Caenorhabditis elegans: one gene and its partners. The protein of the gene in region 1 purifies or fractionates together with the protein of each later gene. This does not show direct contact. Each region holds a gene or a part of one and is shown in the gene's direction. Other genes may lie near its edges.

What was found. The genes of interacting proteins can lie anywhere in the genome.
Region 2: the proteins of T24H10.1 (region 1) and Y57G11C.43 fractionate together in Caenorhabditis elegans (co-fractionation; one large-scale study listed by BioGRID). This does not show direct contact.
Region 3: the proteins of T24H10.1 (region 1) and spt-5 fractionate together in Caenorhabditis elegans (co-fractionation; one large-scale study listed by BioGRID). This does not show direct contact.

The regions. Positions count from the first base shown.
Region 1 is NC_003280.10:9,097,574-9,101,261, forward strand, and holds T24H10.1 (Putative transcription elongation factor S-II), read left to right. Parts: upstream 1-1,797; 5' UTR 1,798-1,804; coding exon 1,805-1,942; intron 1,943-1,994; coding exon 1,995-2,081; intron 2,082-2,133; coding exon 2,134-2,463; intron 2,464-2,510; coding exon 2,511-2,882; 3' UTR 2,883-2,996; downstream 2,997-3,688. Other genes in the region: clh-5 (Chloride channel protein), read right to left, coding at 1-311, 462-600, 674-863, 925-1,024; T24H10.5 (uncharacterized protein), read left to right, coding at 3,525-3,688. UniProt on the Caenorhabditis elegans protein: Necessary for efficient RNA polymerase II transcription elongation past template-encoded arresting sites.
Region 2 is NC_003282.8:14,767,434-14,771,245, forward strand, and holds Y57G11C.43 (Protein KTI12 homolog), read left to right. Parts: upstream 1-2,007; 5' UTR 2,008-2,141; coding exon 2,142-2,226; intron 2,227-2,280; coding exon 2,281-2,677; intron 2,678-2,730; coding exon 2,731-2,836; intron 2,837-2,883; coding exon 2,884-3,204; 3' UTR 3,205-3,266; downstream 3,267-3,812. Other genes in the region: mrps-7 (Small ribosomal subunit protein uS7m), read right to left, coding at 38-133, 179-292; Y57G11C.3 (Putative 6-phosphogluconolactonase), read left to right, coding at 768-803, 857-1,630; degl-1 (DEgenerin Like), read right to left, coding at 3,267-3,296, 3,344-3,442, 3,508-3,624, 3,677-3,755, 3,811-3,812.
Region 3 is NC_003282.8:12,049,691-12,056,272, forward strand, and holds spt-5 (Transcription elongation factor SPT5), read left to right. Parts: upstream 1-1,800; 5' UTR 1,801-1,806; coding exon 1,807-1,854; intron 1,855-1,983; coding exon 1,984-2,067; intron 2,068-2,116; coding exon 2,117-2,626; intron 2,627-2,675; coding exon 2,676-3,258; intron 3,259-3,304; coding exon 3,305-4,957; intron 4,958-5,008; coding exon 5,009-5,401; intron 5,402-5,456; coding exon 5,457-5,662; intron 5,663-5,710; coding exon 5,711-5,860; 3' UTR 5,861-6,056; downstream 6,057-6,582. Other genes in the region: T12G3.4 (Strictosidine synthase conserved region domain-containing protein), read left to right, coding at 1-169; Beta-1,3-galactosyltransferase bre-5, read right to left, coding at 242-550, 604-801, 846-1,034, 1,085-1,231, 1,284-1,380, 1,478-1,506; K08E4.2 (Glycolipid transfer protein domain-containing protein), read right to left, coding at 6,164-6,479, 6,528-6,582.

The DNA.
Region 1 (3,688 bases):
GTCCATTTTCCAAGATATCCACGAATCACGAATCCAGATAAAATGCATTTGATTTCTGGAATTCCAGATCCACAGGCGTAGGGAGCGAATATTTTAACGAAAAGAACGGCAAGAGTCGACATTGCAACAGCCCATCCAATATAAAATATCCATTCGAGAAATAAGAAGAGAAAACTGGATGAGTTGTAGTAATTCAGCATCCATGGCCATTTCGTCCATGCTTTACAATCATCATCCTTATAAAATGTATCATTTGATGACCAACAACAGTGTTCGTGATCCAACCAGAAACGATCCGCACACACTCCTGTCTGAAATTTTAATTTGACACTTGGATGGATTTTTGAAAACAGTTTTTATACCAAAAATTAAAAAAAAATTTATACATGTTAAAATCAATTTGAAGCTTGTTCATAGCTCAAAAATTGAATTTAGATTTTCACTTCAGATAAATAAATAACCTTTAGATCACTCATCCATCGAGCTCCAATATCGATGATTCCAGCAGTTGCACCAGCAGCCAGTCCAACAAAAAGAACGCATATCCATCCTGCTCCGGCATCCCATCCCGATTGTAGAAGCCCAAGGGGGAAATCCACTCTGAAAATATTATTTGTTGCAGGTCATAAATTCATTTAGCTTTGCATTATTTTAATGGGGGAACCCAACTAACTTTTTCTTAGATATCATTTTATGCCGTAACCGATCTCTGGCTAAATCTCTTTGCCAATCAATTGTATGAAAATCTCCATATTTACTGAAAAACGGCGGAGCCATGACGTCTGGAAGATCGTCGTCTGTTTTGAATCTGACGTCATCAATAGCACCAAATGGGTTAAAATCACTTGAAGAGCTGCCGCCACCTGAATGAAAAGTGTTCGTTAAGAAAATTTTCTATGGGAAAATTGATATTGTTTCGATCACCTGCAGTCATATCAAGGTGTATTGTAGCAGAAGTTCCACTTGGTTCCAACTCGACATCATCTGTTGAACCAAGGGTCGACGACCGACCTGCTCGTTCCATTTTCGGCTGGAATAAAAGAACAATTATTTGTTAAGATAGAAAAGGAAATATTTGAAAACAAAAATTTGTGGTTTAACATCAAGAGCTATTTTGATACCGCACAGAAGGGTAGCTGGAGTCAAATGAATAAAATGGGAATTTCACATTCTGCAACTAAAAAAGTCCCAAGAATCAATATGGGATTAATATAATCTCATAGAAATATTAATTATGATTTTAAATGGAGATGCGATAAATGGAGATGGCCAAAAAGTTAACTGAAAATTAAAAAAAAAAGAGAAAATTGATCAATGATTGTAACTTTAACTGACTGATAATTCAGGCTGTTGACTATAAACATAGCATGAAATCTCAAATACTTAACTAATAAATGTCAACATTCAGTTCGACTGGACACAATGTTAGTGCCGTGATATTTTACGAGCTCCAAAATCTAAGGGATTATTATATTTGAAACTAACAGATGAATTATATCATGAATAACATTATTTTTGAGCATATTGAGAATAAAAAGAGAAGAATCTTTCTGAAAATCGCCAAATCATCGTAACTTTCCCAGAATCCGAGACAGGTCAGGAGAGGCGCACGAGAAATGCGCCAGGTGCCTTTGCTGACGCGTTATTCGGATTATTGACGCGTTTCTTCAAATGTACCAATTTCGTTTTCAGTCAATATTCACAGATATTTGTGTTTTTTGCGCGTCCACATCTTTTCTCTCTTTATAATCCACTACATAATTAATACTCTCCGTCATTCTTTACCTTTTGTCTTGCAGCAGCTATGTCCGCTCTCGAGGAAACACAATCGTTGTGCAAGCAAGTTGACGATATTTGCAATAATGGAATGGAATCCGTCGAACAATGCAATAAGCTGCTCGACCAGTTGTCGAAAATTCCAATGAGCATCGAAATAATCCAGGTGAGTTCTACTTTAATTTTGTCCATCAAGTAATAATAAAATTGTTTTCCAGAAAACCAACATTGGAATAAAAGTGAATATGATGCGGAAAAAAGTCACAGATGATGCTGTTGCAAAGCGGGCTAAGAACATCATTAAGGTACTTTTTTTCATAAATGAAATGTAGCTACTTCCAATTATTTTTTTTCTAGGATTGGAAGAATGTAGTTGATGGAAAGAGCAAGTCACAGGATGATGGTGGTGCTCCACCTGCGAAGAAGCACAGAAAGGAAAGTGTTGAAGAGGCAAAACCAGAGAAAAAGAAGATCGAGGCTCCATATAAGCGGCCAGAACCATCTAGTCGGCCAGAAATAGTTGCTCAATTTGCCAGTGCATCTTTCCCACCGAAACATCTTGAAAATGACGAGACCCGTCTTAAATCTGCACAACTTCTACTTTCGGCACTTCGGTTTGGAGACATGCCACAAGGAACACTCGATCCAGAGGAGTTAGCTGTCCAAATTGAAGAGAAACTCTATTCGGTATGGTTTATCCTGAAAGTGAAACATTTTTAACTTTTTGATTATAGGTTCACCGTGATACAAACAAGAGTTACTCAGCAGCTGTTCGTAGTCGCATTTTCAATCTTCGTGATAAAAAGAACCTTGCTCTACGTGAAAATGTTCTCACTGGTGTCGTCCGTGCTGAAAAGTTTGCAACCATGACCAGCGAAGAAATGGCATCCGCTGAAATCCGGGAGATGCGTGATAAATTCACGAAGGAAGCTATCCTAGAACATCAAATGAGCGTCCAGCAAGGAACTCCATCAGACATGTTCAAGTGCGGAAAATGTGGAAAGAAGAATTGCACCTATACTCAGCTTCAAACTCGTTCTTCCGACGAACCGATGACAACATTTGTCTTCTGTCTCGAGTGCGGAAATCGCTGGAAGTTTTGCTGATTTTTTGAGATTCTTTCTTCTAAATTGTCTTCACGTGGTAGTTTTGCCAGATACCCCATACACACTCTTCCACGGATACTCAAATATGATTGTTATAAGTTTTCTGGCTTGTGTAATAATTAACTGATAATTTATTTGTTAATCTTCACTCTCCTCCACCCCCCCCCCCCCATATCCACTGAAAAGTGGTAAATTTGTTTGTTGATTTTATATAAACTTGTATTGCATATAAAATATTTTTCACTTTCGATAATGCCAATAGTTACTACGAGAGCTGTTTCAGCGAGCTGATAAATGAGCTGTTTAACATGATGGAAATAGCAGGACGAAAAGAATATTGGTAATTGATACGGTAGCGGTGCATTATCAAATAAAAAGGATAAAACTAAACGTGTCGACCTTAATAACCGCGTGTAAGTAAACGTGGTTTGGTTTTAAGGGGAGAAATTAATACATCCTTTCTTTTCTTTCTCTAAATTCTCTTCTTCTATCAAAGCTAAATATCTTCTTTATTTTGGTAAGTAGACGCCAGAAGCCAATTTGTGCACTTTTAAAATTTGATGGTGAGGTGGAGTCACGTTGGTGTAATGGAAAATGTGAATGGAAAGAAACGATCTGAAAGGTGGTTTTTATTTTCAGAAAATGGCAGCTCTAAGTGACACAAATGTTCCACATCCGAAACGTCCAAGAACTTCCACATTTGGAGTTAAAATTCTTGTTGAGAGGGATTCTTTTGGAGGAAACCCGGAAATTATCAAAAAATCATTGGAGGATATTTGTAAAGAAGCCGGATGCTTCATAAATAT
Region 2 (3,812 bases), on another chromosome or scaffold:
TGATTTTAAAAAAATATTCAAAGCATTGCAAGTTTACCACATGATCTCTGTAAAATACTGGTGTCGCATCACTTTTCATCGCTTTGAGGAACAAAAAGTTGCGCTCATCATCCGAATCCAATGGTTTTCGGAGCTAAAATAATAGTTAAGATTTATAGATTAAAACAAACAAATTAACCTCTTGAACATTCGTTACGGGATCTCTGAATACTCTTGGATCGTACATATTTGATGTGGAAGTCGTCGAAGAAATCCATCGTTTTTGAGCGAATCGCGCCAGTTTTGTGGTCATATTTACTACAAATAACAATATTAAGTATTTGATAATTAAATTGCAAATCATGAAGCTTTGAAAACTGCAAAAATATGCGAAGAAAACTCGGAAATCAATGGAAAATCCGTGGACTCGCTCGTATTTCGACACAAGAGTGCAGTGGAGCATGCTTGCATACTCTGCGTCTCGTCTTTTTGCATAGTCTATCGTCTCAATAAACTGGGCGCGCATGCATTTCGGAGTATTGTTGCTAGACATTTATCACTTTTTGTTTTTTTCCTGTTTTCATCGGCTTTTTTCTGAATAATAATAATACAGTTTAAATAAATTAAAATTCCTTTTTCTTATTTATGACACCTTCCTTTAGCTTTTAAAATAAACCTGGTTTATTTCGTGAAGAGAAATCCTTTTCATGTCATAAACGATTTTATTTCTTGCTTCTTTTTCAGTATTTCCGCTCACTCAGCCCCCGCTCATTCCGTGGAGAATATCAATGTGTCTCGTTAACGAATTCGTATCGAATAGCAATGTAAAATCTCGTTTCAAATGTATTTATTCTTTATAAAACAAAATTATTTTCAGATGAAGCCGGCGCTCAACGTTTCTGGCGACGAAAAGGAGCTCATCCTTCAGCTGCGTCGTTATCTCGAGGAAAAGCTCACCTATCTTCTAGATCAAAATGGTACAGTCAGTATTGGAGTTTCCGGTGGATCGATGCCACGAGTCTTTTCGAAAGCTATTCTCTCTTTGCCACAAGAGCAGCTGAATTGGAAGAGGATTCGAATTTTTATGGTTGATGAGCGTAACGTTGATCTGGATAGCGAGGAAAGTAATCAGGGAGAATATTTGAGATTATTCCCGAATGAGCTCAGAGACGTTTTTGTGCCCATGCAAATTTTCAAGGATCCCTGCCTCACCGCCCAACACTATGAAATCAGTCTTCGTAAATACTTGCTCCCGGAGCAGCTCAACAATACTGCTCGTTTCGATATTCTTTTCCTTGGAGTTGGTCCAGATGGTCACACTGCAAGTATCTTCCCTGGAAAGGAGCGGCTGGAGAAGATTACCGAGCTAAATTGGGTTTCCGTCATCACAGACTCCCCGAAACCTCCACCATCTCGTATCACACTTACTTTGCAAACTCTTCAACACGCCAAAAACGTTGCTTTCATCATTTGCGGGAAACAAAAAGCGGAAATTGTACGAGGAATTTGTGATCGTGATCAAAAGTATCCGGCCGCTCAAGCACGTCCATTCAACGACAAATTGACACTATTCCTCGATGAAGACGCAGCAACTGGTGTACCGGATAGAGATTCGTCGGATTCTGACTCTCCTCCACCGTTTGACGGATGAGCAGCATCTTGTGTGATATTAAAATATATACCTAATTTCTTTTTTTTTTCTCTGTAATTTTCTCTTATTTTTTTCATTAAGTCGCATTCCTCCTTATTCCTTTAATTATGGCCATCATCAAAGAGAAACAAAAAACCACAAAAAAAAATTCAAATCGTCGTGAAAGTTTTAAATTGTTTCCGGATTTCCTCCAACTGTAAAATAAAATTGCAATTTTTGAATTTATGAAATTCAATTTTCTAAAATATTGTAAACGGTTCATTACCGTGAATTACTTTTTTTAGATGCGGAACTTCAAAAAACTACAGGATCGATCGGGGAATTTGCTCGTTTTATTCTCTTTTTCGAATGAAAATGCGATCCAATTTCAATCTCTTATAGAGTAAAAAATCGTGCCGCAAGGTTGCAAAATTACGCCCCGCCTCTATTTCTGTGCGACGTTGTTTTTTGCAAAATTCATGGATTGAAATATGTCAAAATTACTGAAATATAAGGATTATTCTAGATATTTATGCCTCTTATCATTGTTACCGGTCATCCATCGTCTGGAAAATCTACAGTTGTTGATAGATTAGCGAAGAAATTCGAGGAAAAAGGTAAAAATTGTGTATTTTCTGCTTTAAAATTTCTTAAAATTCCCATCATTCCAGGCAAAGACTATTTGATAATACGGGACGAAGATTACGGAGGATTTGATCGAAAAAACTACGAATTTTCGAATAAAGAGAAGGATCTCCGATCTTGGATTCGATCTCAAGTTCAACAGAATCTAACGAAGAATAAAGTTATAATATGTGATGCTTTGAATTATATCAAAGGATATCGATATGAATTATTCTTAGCCGCTAAGATGAGCAAAACCACGTATTGTGTCGTCGAGTGCTCGCCTCCCGTCGCCACGTGTCACTGGCTCAATGAGCAGAAGCCTGAAGTGGAGAGATATCCGAAGGAGATTATCGATCAGTTGATGATGAGATATGAAAGGCCGGATACGAAGTTGAGATGGGAAAAACCATTGTTTGAGGTTAAAATTGGTACTGCTGAGAAGTGAGATTGGAAAATTAATTGGAAAAAAAAATAATAATTGTTTCCTATTCCAGAGCCACGCCTGTAGACTTCGATGAGGATATGGCGATAGACTTGGAGCATCCTGCTCCGAGATTTGCGAGCATTTTTGAAGATGAAATTGTTGAATGGATTTGTAATGTAAGTGAATCCTAAATTATCGAATAGAAAAATAATTAGTTTTCCAGGGAACAGAGCTCACAGAAAACCAATCAACACAGACAGTCCCACTGGCGCCGACAAATTTTCTTCACGAGCTGGATCGATCCACACAAGACGTTGTTACAGTGCTTTTAAATGCTCAAAGAACTGCAGTTCGCGGTCAAAACCTGACGATTCCTGGAGCAACAGACGGAGCCAATACGATAAAGTTTATGAAATTGAGAACGCTGCCTGAGCTGAATCGACTGCGACACCAATTTGTGAACATGTCGAAGAAGGATCCGACAACTGATAAGGAGAAGATTATCACGGGATTTGTCGATTTTTTGAATTGCAATTTGAGATGATTGTTTTGTTGTTTGTTATGACTTTATTTGAAAATGCAGAAAAATAAAAATCCAAAGTTTTATCATGTATAGGCTTGTGAGTAGACGGTGAGCTGAAAACAAAATTCCGATTCATTTTAAATTTTGTAAATTTAATTACCAAGGCTTCCAGCTCAGGAATCGCTCGAACTGCACTCAATTTATATGGATTTGTATTACAGAATGTGATTGATGGGAAGTTCGACTCTACCATTCCAATCTACAATTCTTTGGCTTCAATAAAATAATAAAGATTTAAAAAAAAAAGCGATTTAAGAAATTTACATTCAGATTCACCAATTTTTGAAACGAAAAGTATTGGCGAACGGTGACGGTGATAAGGTAGACGAACAAAACGGCGCTGATAATGAGCAAGGTTGTCCAGAGAAGGATCGTTGGCCACTGGAATCATGGAATCTCTGAATTTGAAGAAATATTTGAACCTATTACTTACTGAAAGAGATTGAGCCATGTGAGGGATTCCATGCCACGAACAAGACAATCCCCACTCGTGTACAGCACTTTTTGTTTTTCTGAATCCGAAAATCTATGGAAAAAGCTAGAAATTTAGAGTTTTTTTTATCTTACGA
Region 3 (6,582 bases), on another chromosome or scaffold:
TGTAGAAGGTCTTGTTATCAAAGTCAACACGGAAACTGGTCAAATCATCGAGTCGTATCATGATCAAACAGGACGAGTTGAAGCCGTCTCAATTGCGATTGACGATGGAAAAGGAAGAATGCTTCTGGGAAGTGATGTTAACTATTATATTGCTCGAGCTAAACTTTGAATATTTAATTTTTATTTCTTACGATCTCTATTGATATGTTGAAAATTATATGAAAAAAATTCAAAATACAATTTATTCGAACCCGTTTAACTGGCTATACTCGTATTCAAGATCTTTCCTGGCATATCCATGAACTGCAATTACACCATCATCCCATTCTTTTTGAGACACTCGTCGACACCAGAAGATGAAGTTCTCATTATGAGTTGCTGCGACATTCACTGTTTTGGCGAGAATACCCGTAAAGACATCATCGAATGGAAACATTTTCAGTTTTCTAATTGAATTTCTGAATCGCGCAATGGTTTCGGAAGTGAGGAAGACAGCGCCAGCGGAGACGTATGGAGGATATCGTGAAAATGGATACTCATTCAGCGAAATCTGTAACTTGTAATAATTTGGAAATAGGTTTTTTTTTTACTTGAAGCACTTACGCTGTGTTTGTGGATCTTAAGCCTGAATGGTGACGTGTCAAATACGAAGCCTTCGTAAACAAGTTCCTCTTTTTGTTTAGTTTTTGCGAATTTTACAAGATTTGGGATATGTACCAAATAATCGTCATCTACCAGAAAGGTAAAGTCTGGAGAAGAGCATTGATTTGGATTCGCAGCGTAGTCAATGGCGCCAAACAACTGAAATTAGGTTTTTATTGAGAAAAGTGTTCAAGAAAACAAACTTTTAAGGTATTGTTCCGATATGAATCTATGTCTGATATTGCAAGAATATCCTTATACTTCTCCGATTCTACATCAATTCTTCTCATTATCTCCATATTTTCCACTCTTCCCACAATGAAGATTGGCATAACTTCGACTCCATCAATCATTCGAAACACTCCCCACGTCTTTCTTACTGACTCTCGCATCTGAATATTGTTTTTTTTAAATAGAAATTTGATTTTCTGCAAATACTAACCGGTCCATTTTTCGCACTTGACTTGATTATAATAATAATAATCTTTTGTCCATTGCCAGAAAATTTGCACTGTGGATATTTTGTAAACTTGCTTCGCAATTGTAAATTACGCGTTTCCAGTGGCCAACTGAAGTCACCAAAACTCGTCTGAAAAATATAATCATTATGTTTAAATAATTTTTTCTGGCGTATAAAGTACCTCTCTAAACTTATCCACAACTCCAAGTACCCATAGAAGAAAAATCGTAATCGTGAAAATTAAAAGCTTTTGAAACGAAGAAAGTTCATGATATTTTCTGAAATGAAATTAAATATTTATGCGAAATTGAAGAGCAAAGCAATACTTCTTAAAGCTTTGAGATTTTTCAAGCGTATCCACAGAGAATTTCCTACCTTTTCAAAATCCGCACGCATAAAAACATTAAAATGTTAAATAAATATATATTTAATGCGCGGCAAGTTGTGGGTTTTGGACGTGAACACCAGATTGCGTACCGGGCATCGGAACCGACGACAATTTATTTCTTCTTCATTTTCTTCTTCTTTTTTGCGCTTAATTTCTTCTAATCATTTATACCTATAAAGTTAATCATTTTTTCAATTGATTGATTTACTTCTTGCCTAATTTTCTGAATTTTTAAGCGTTGTCCTAAATCACACGCGTTCCTCCTCATTTCTCTGCCCCAAGTTATTTGAAATTTACTTAAATGTTTCAGTTAGCAATGTCCTCTGACGAAAGTGATGCAGCCTCAAACAAAGAAGAAGACACGGTTAGTTATCGATTTTTCACTCTATGATTTGAGATTCGATCGATTTCGCCGAAAATAACAAATAAGCTTTCATGGAAAATTCACAAATTATGCGACTTTACTTATTTATCGATTTTTATCCTCTTACAGACTTTGAGCGATGATGATGGCTCAGATGTTGAAATCAAAAATTCAAAGAAGGACAGAAAGCGGAAACTTGCTTCAGAGAGTGAGGTGAGTGAAAACAATTAATTTTAAAGTTACAATCCTGTCGGTTTTTCAGAAAAGTGGCTCGGACGATGATGATGACGACGATGACGATGAAGATGAAAACGTGACCAGCAAGAAATCTAAAAAGCAGAAACGGAAGAATAAGGCTCCTTCTGGACGAGATTTTCTTGCTTGGGATGTTGAAGTCGACGACGAAGACGAAGACGACGACAATGATTACGATGACGAAGACGATCCAAGCATGAATGCAATGAACGAGCGAGAGGAAGCTGAGCGTGCGATGAAAGAAATGGAATTGAGTCAACGGAATAGAGATCGGTACAAGTTCCAAAACATGACGGAAGACGAAGTCCAGAAATACTTTGAGAACAAGTACAAGGGTGACAAAAACGACAGTCAATATGATGACGAAGATTCAGCTATGGATGATATTTCAAAAAATTCTCATCTTCCATCCACGAAGGATCCTAACCTGTGGATTGTCAAATGTCGCATGGGAGAGGAAAAACTCGTAGCGATGCATCTGATGCGTAAATGTCTTGCGGTTGAGCACACAAACGAGGTAATTGATAAATGTCCCGTAATAATGATTGCATTTAATCAATTTATAGCCATTCCAAATCAAATCAGTTGTCGTCAAGGAAGGACTCAAAGGAATGATCTATATCGAGGCGTTCAAACAATCTCACGTCATGTCTGCAATTGAAGGATTTTCAGCTCTCAATCAATTCACTATAACCATGGTTCCCATCAAAGATATGGTAGATGTATTGAGAGTTGTCAAAGACATTCCACAGTTGAAACTCGGATCATATGTTCGTTTGAAAAGAACAATGTACAAAGATGATCTGGCTGTCGTTGATCTTGTGGATATCGCTCAGAACCGTGTCAACCTGAAATTGATTCCCCGTGTCGATTATCAGAAGCGGCGCGGAGCAATGAGAACTGATGCTGATAAAAACTATAAGCTGAAAAGACGCCCAATGCCCAAGTTATTTGATCAGGATACCATCAAAGAAGTTGGAGGAGAAATTGTGACGGACGGAGACTTCTTAGTATTTGAAGGAAATCATTTCCGGCGAGGATTCCTCTACAAGTACTTCCCCATAAACGCAATTCAAGCTGATGGTGTTAAACCAACTCTTGGAGAACTCGAAAAGTTCCAAGAATCTAGCGATGATCTCAAGAGAGAATGTAAGTTTTTATTCCTTTATTCTTTTTTAAAAATACTTTTTTTCAGTGGAAACGGCTTCTCTCAAAGACACAGAAAATCCATTTGTTCCTGGAGATATCGTCGAAGTGAAAGCTGGAGAGTTGGTGAATCTTCGGGGTAAAGTGATGACGGTCGATGGGACGAAGGTTGTGATGATGCCAGATCAAGAAGATTTGAAAGAAGCAATCACTTTGAACGCTCATGAGCTCAGGAAATACTTCAAGGAAGGAGATCATGCAAAGGTTATTAGTGGACGATACGAAGGACATACTGGATTAATTGTCCGAGTAAAAGATAGCACAGCCATAGTTTTGTCTGATCTTGGAATGGAAGAATTGAAAGTTCGTGTACGAGATTTGCAACTTTGTGCTGATGTGACAACTGGAGTGGACTCACTGGGACAGTTCCAATATCATGATCTTGTACAGCTCGACCATACAGGAAATGTTGGAGTAATTGTTCGATTGGAGAAGGAACATTTGGAAGTTCTCAACATGCACGGAGTTGTGAATCGTATAAAGCCACAAGCTATTATAGCGAAAAAAGACGTTCGATTTGCGAAAGTTCTCGACAGTCAAAACAATTCCATCGAGGCTAAAGATCTGGTAAAAGTAATTGGAGGACCAAACGCAAAGGAGCGGGAAACCGATGAGGATCCAGTTGGAGAAGTTCTCTATGCGTTCCGTGGAACTGTCTTCGTTTATTCTCGCAAAGTGACTAAAAATGGAGGAGTCTTGGTTTGCAAACCAAAACAACTGATTTTACAAGGAGCTAAGAAAACAACCAGTACACCGATGGTTTCTCGAATGGCTTCACCGAATCCTATGGCATCACCAAGACATTCTTCTGGAGGAATGACTCCTCGTTCTCCACAAGATGGTATGTCAAGTCGTGGAAGCAGTGGTGGACAAACTCCGAGACAAGGTGGAGGAGGAGGACGTGGTGGTCATTTTGGAACTGCAAATCAACAAAAAGTTCGTCGTGATCTTACCCTCATTGGAAAAAATGTTCGAATCATCAAAGGTCCGATGAAGGGCCACTTTGGAATTGTTCGAGATGCCACAGAAGACACAGTTCGTGTCGAATTGCATACACAATGCAGAACGATTTCTGTCGATCGTGCTCGTGTGATGGTTGTCGGAGACACTGGAATAACAGCTGGAAGTGGAGGTGGAAGCTCGTTCTACAGTTCTTCGAAGACACCGATGCGCGACTCTGGCAAAACTCCAATGTATGGATCGAAGACTCCGATGTATGGAGCACAAACACCGATGTATGGCTCGATGACTCCAGCTTATGATGGAGGAAGAACACCGGCGTATGGAGAAGGTGGACGTACCCCTGCATATGGAAGCAAAACTCCAGCATATGGAGATCTTGATGAACATTCATCATCACGTACTCCAGCCTATGGAAATGACAGTTCAAGAACTCCTGCTTACGGTAGTGCTGATGGTGCACGAACTCCTGCCTATGGAAGTACGGAAGGTGGACGGACTCCAGCATACGGATCAATGGACAACAGTAGAACTCCTGCATATGATGATTCTGGAAGAACGCCTGGCTATGAAAGTATGCCATCGAGAACTCCGAACTATGATTCAAGCAGTAAGACTCCAGCCTATCCAGAATCCGAACATTCCGCCAGAACTCCAGCATACAATAATGATTATGATATTCGTGAGTTGAACCATTACATATCTTTGCAATTTTTAATTTTTAATTGTTTAGCGTTGAGTCCGGCATACGAGCCCGATGCACCTGAAGCGTATGACAATGCTCCAGCAAGAACTCCAGCATTCGTGTCCCGTACTCCAGGATACGACACATATGAGAACAGCAGCCCGACATACGAACCAGATGCAGCTACAAAAGTTGAGGAAGACATCGGAGACACTTCGTCTCCAACTTATGATTCTCCTCCACACTCGTACGTTGTGCCAACTCCAGGTGCAATGCTCAATCCAGCAACTCCGGGAGCCTATCACGTTGATACACCTGGATTCGCTGCTCCAATGACGCCAGGAAGTGGAGGAGCATACGATCAATATGTTGCGCCTTCTCCATTCGCTGGCTACGACAGTAACAACTACAACAATGCCGATGGAGCTATTGAGCAAATTCGTAAGTTGCTCAAGATTTTATTTGAATTATAGTGAAGCTAATTTCTTATTTTTAGCGGACCACTTCCTGGCTCAAGGTGTGTGGATTGTGCAGAATCTGTGTGTGCAAATCAAGGACCACGAAGGGCGATTCAACGGACGTGAGGCGATCATTAAAGATGTTACCGATGGAAAAGTGGATGTCTACATGCCAGATCACAAGTGCAACTTGGAAGTTGATTTCGATCAGCTAACTCCAATGAAACCGCAACCAGGAGATGATGTAAGAAAATATTAAATTGAAAATGCTAAATGAAATGTTAACTTTAAGGCTCGAGTGATTTTCGGACAAGATGCAGGTCACAGTGGACAACTTGTTTCCATGGATGGATTCGAAGCAGTTATCCGATCACAGGAAGACATGTCAGACATGCGAGTCATCAACATTGGATTGTGCTGCAAAATGCATAGCGAAACTTGAAAAGTTGTTCACTTTACTATTTATTCTCCAATTTTTCTTCGCTTTTTTCTGTTCAAATGTTATTCGACACTCGACGAGTTTCACTTCGTTGTGTCTATTTTTTGGTGTCACCCTTTGAAAATCGTTCATTTATTTATTTATTATACACTGTTTTATTTGAATTAAACATTTCTTAAAATGATTGCTGCTTTTCTTTTTCAAAAACAAATACACTTGTTGTACAACCAAGAGATATAATGAAAAGTTTAATTTCAGAGAACATATTTTTTGTGAGATCAAGAATGAAGAGGGTAGTAAAGAGATTCAGGCTGAAGGATTATAATCAGTTAGTTCGAAATTTTCAACTAGTTTGTTCACTCTTCGCACAATATCTCGTCCGTCTCGATTGAAAATATCATGGAATTGATTATCATCGTCCTCTGGCATATCACCACGAAGTCTACATAGAAATTCTGGTTTTCGAGGCAAAGTGTAGAGAGCCGCAGCGACAGCAGTTCTGATTGGCCAAGAATGAAGTTGAGAAAGATGTTTGTCATAAGAAGAACGAGCGATTGTCGATACATTTTCATCATTCGACGTGAACACTCCATCCAGCAAATCGATGACGAATTCAAGAGCTCTGAAATGATGAACTCATTGATTTTCTCTTCTACGAATCCACGAATACCTGTTAAGAACCATCAAATGTCCAGTGCCGCTTCTATTTGGTTTCTGATTTCGAA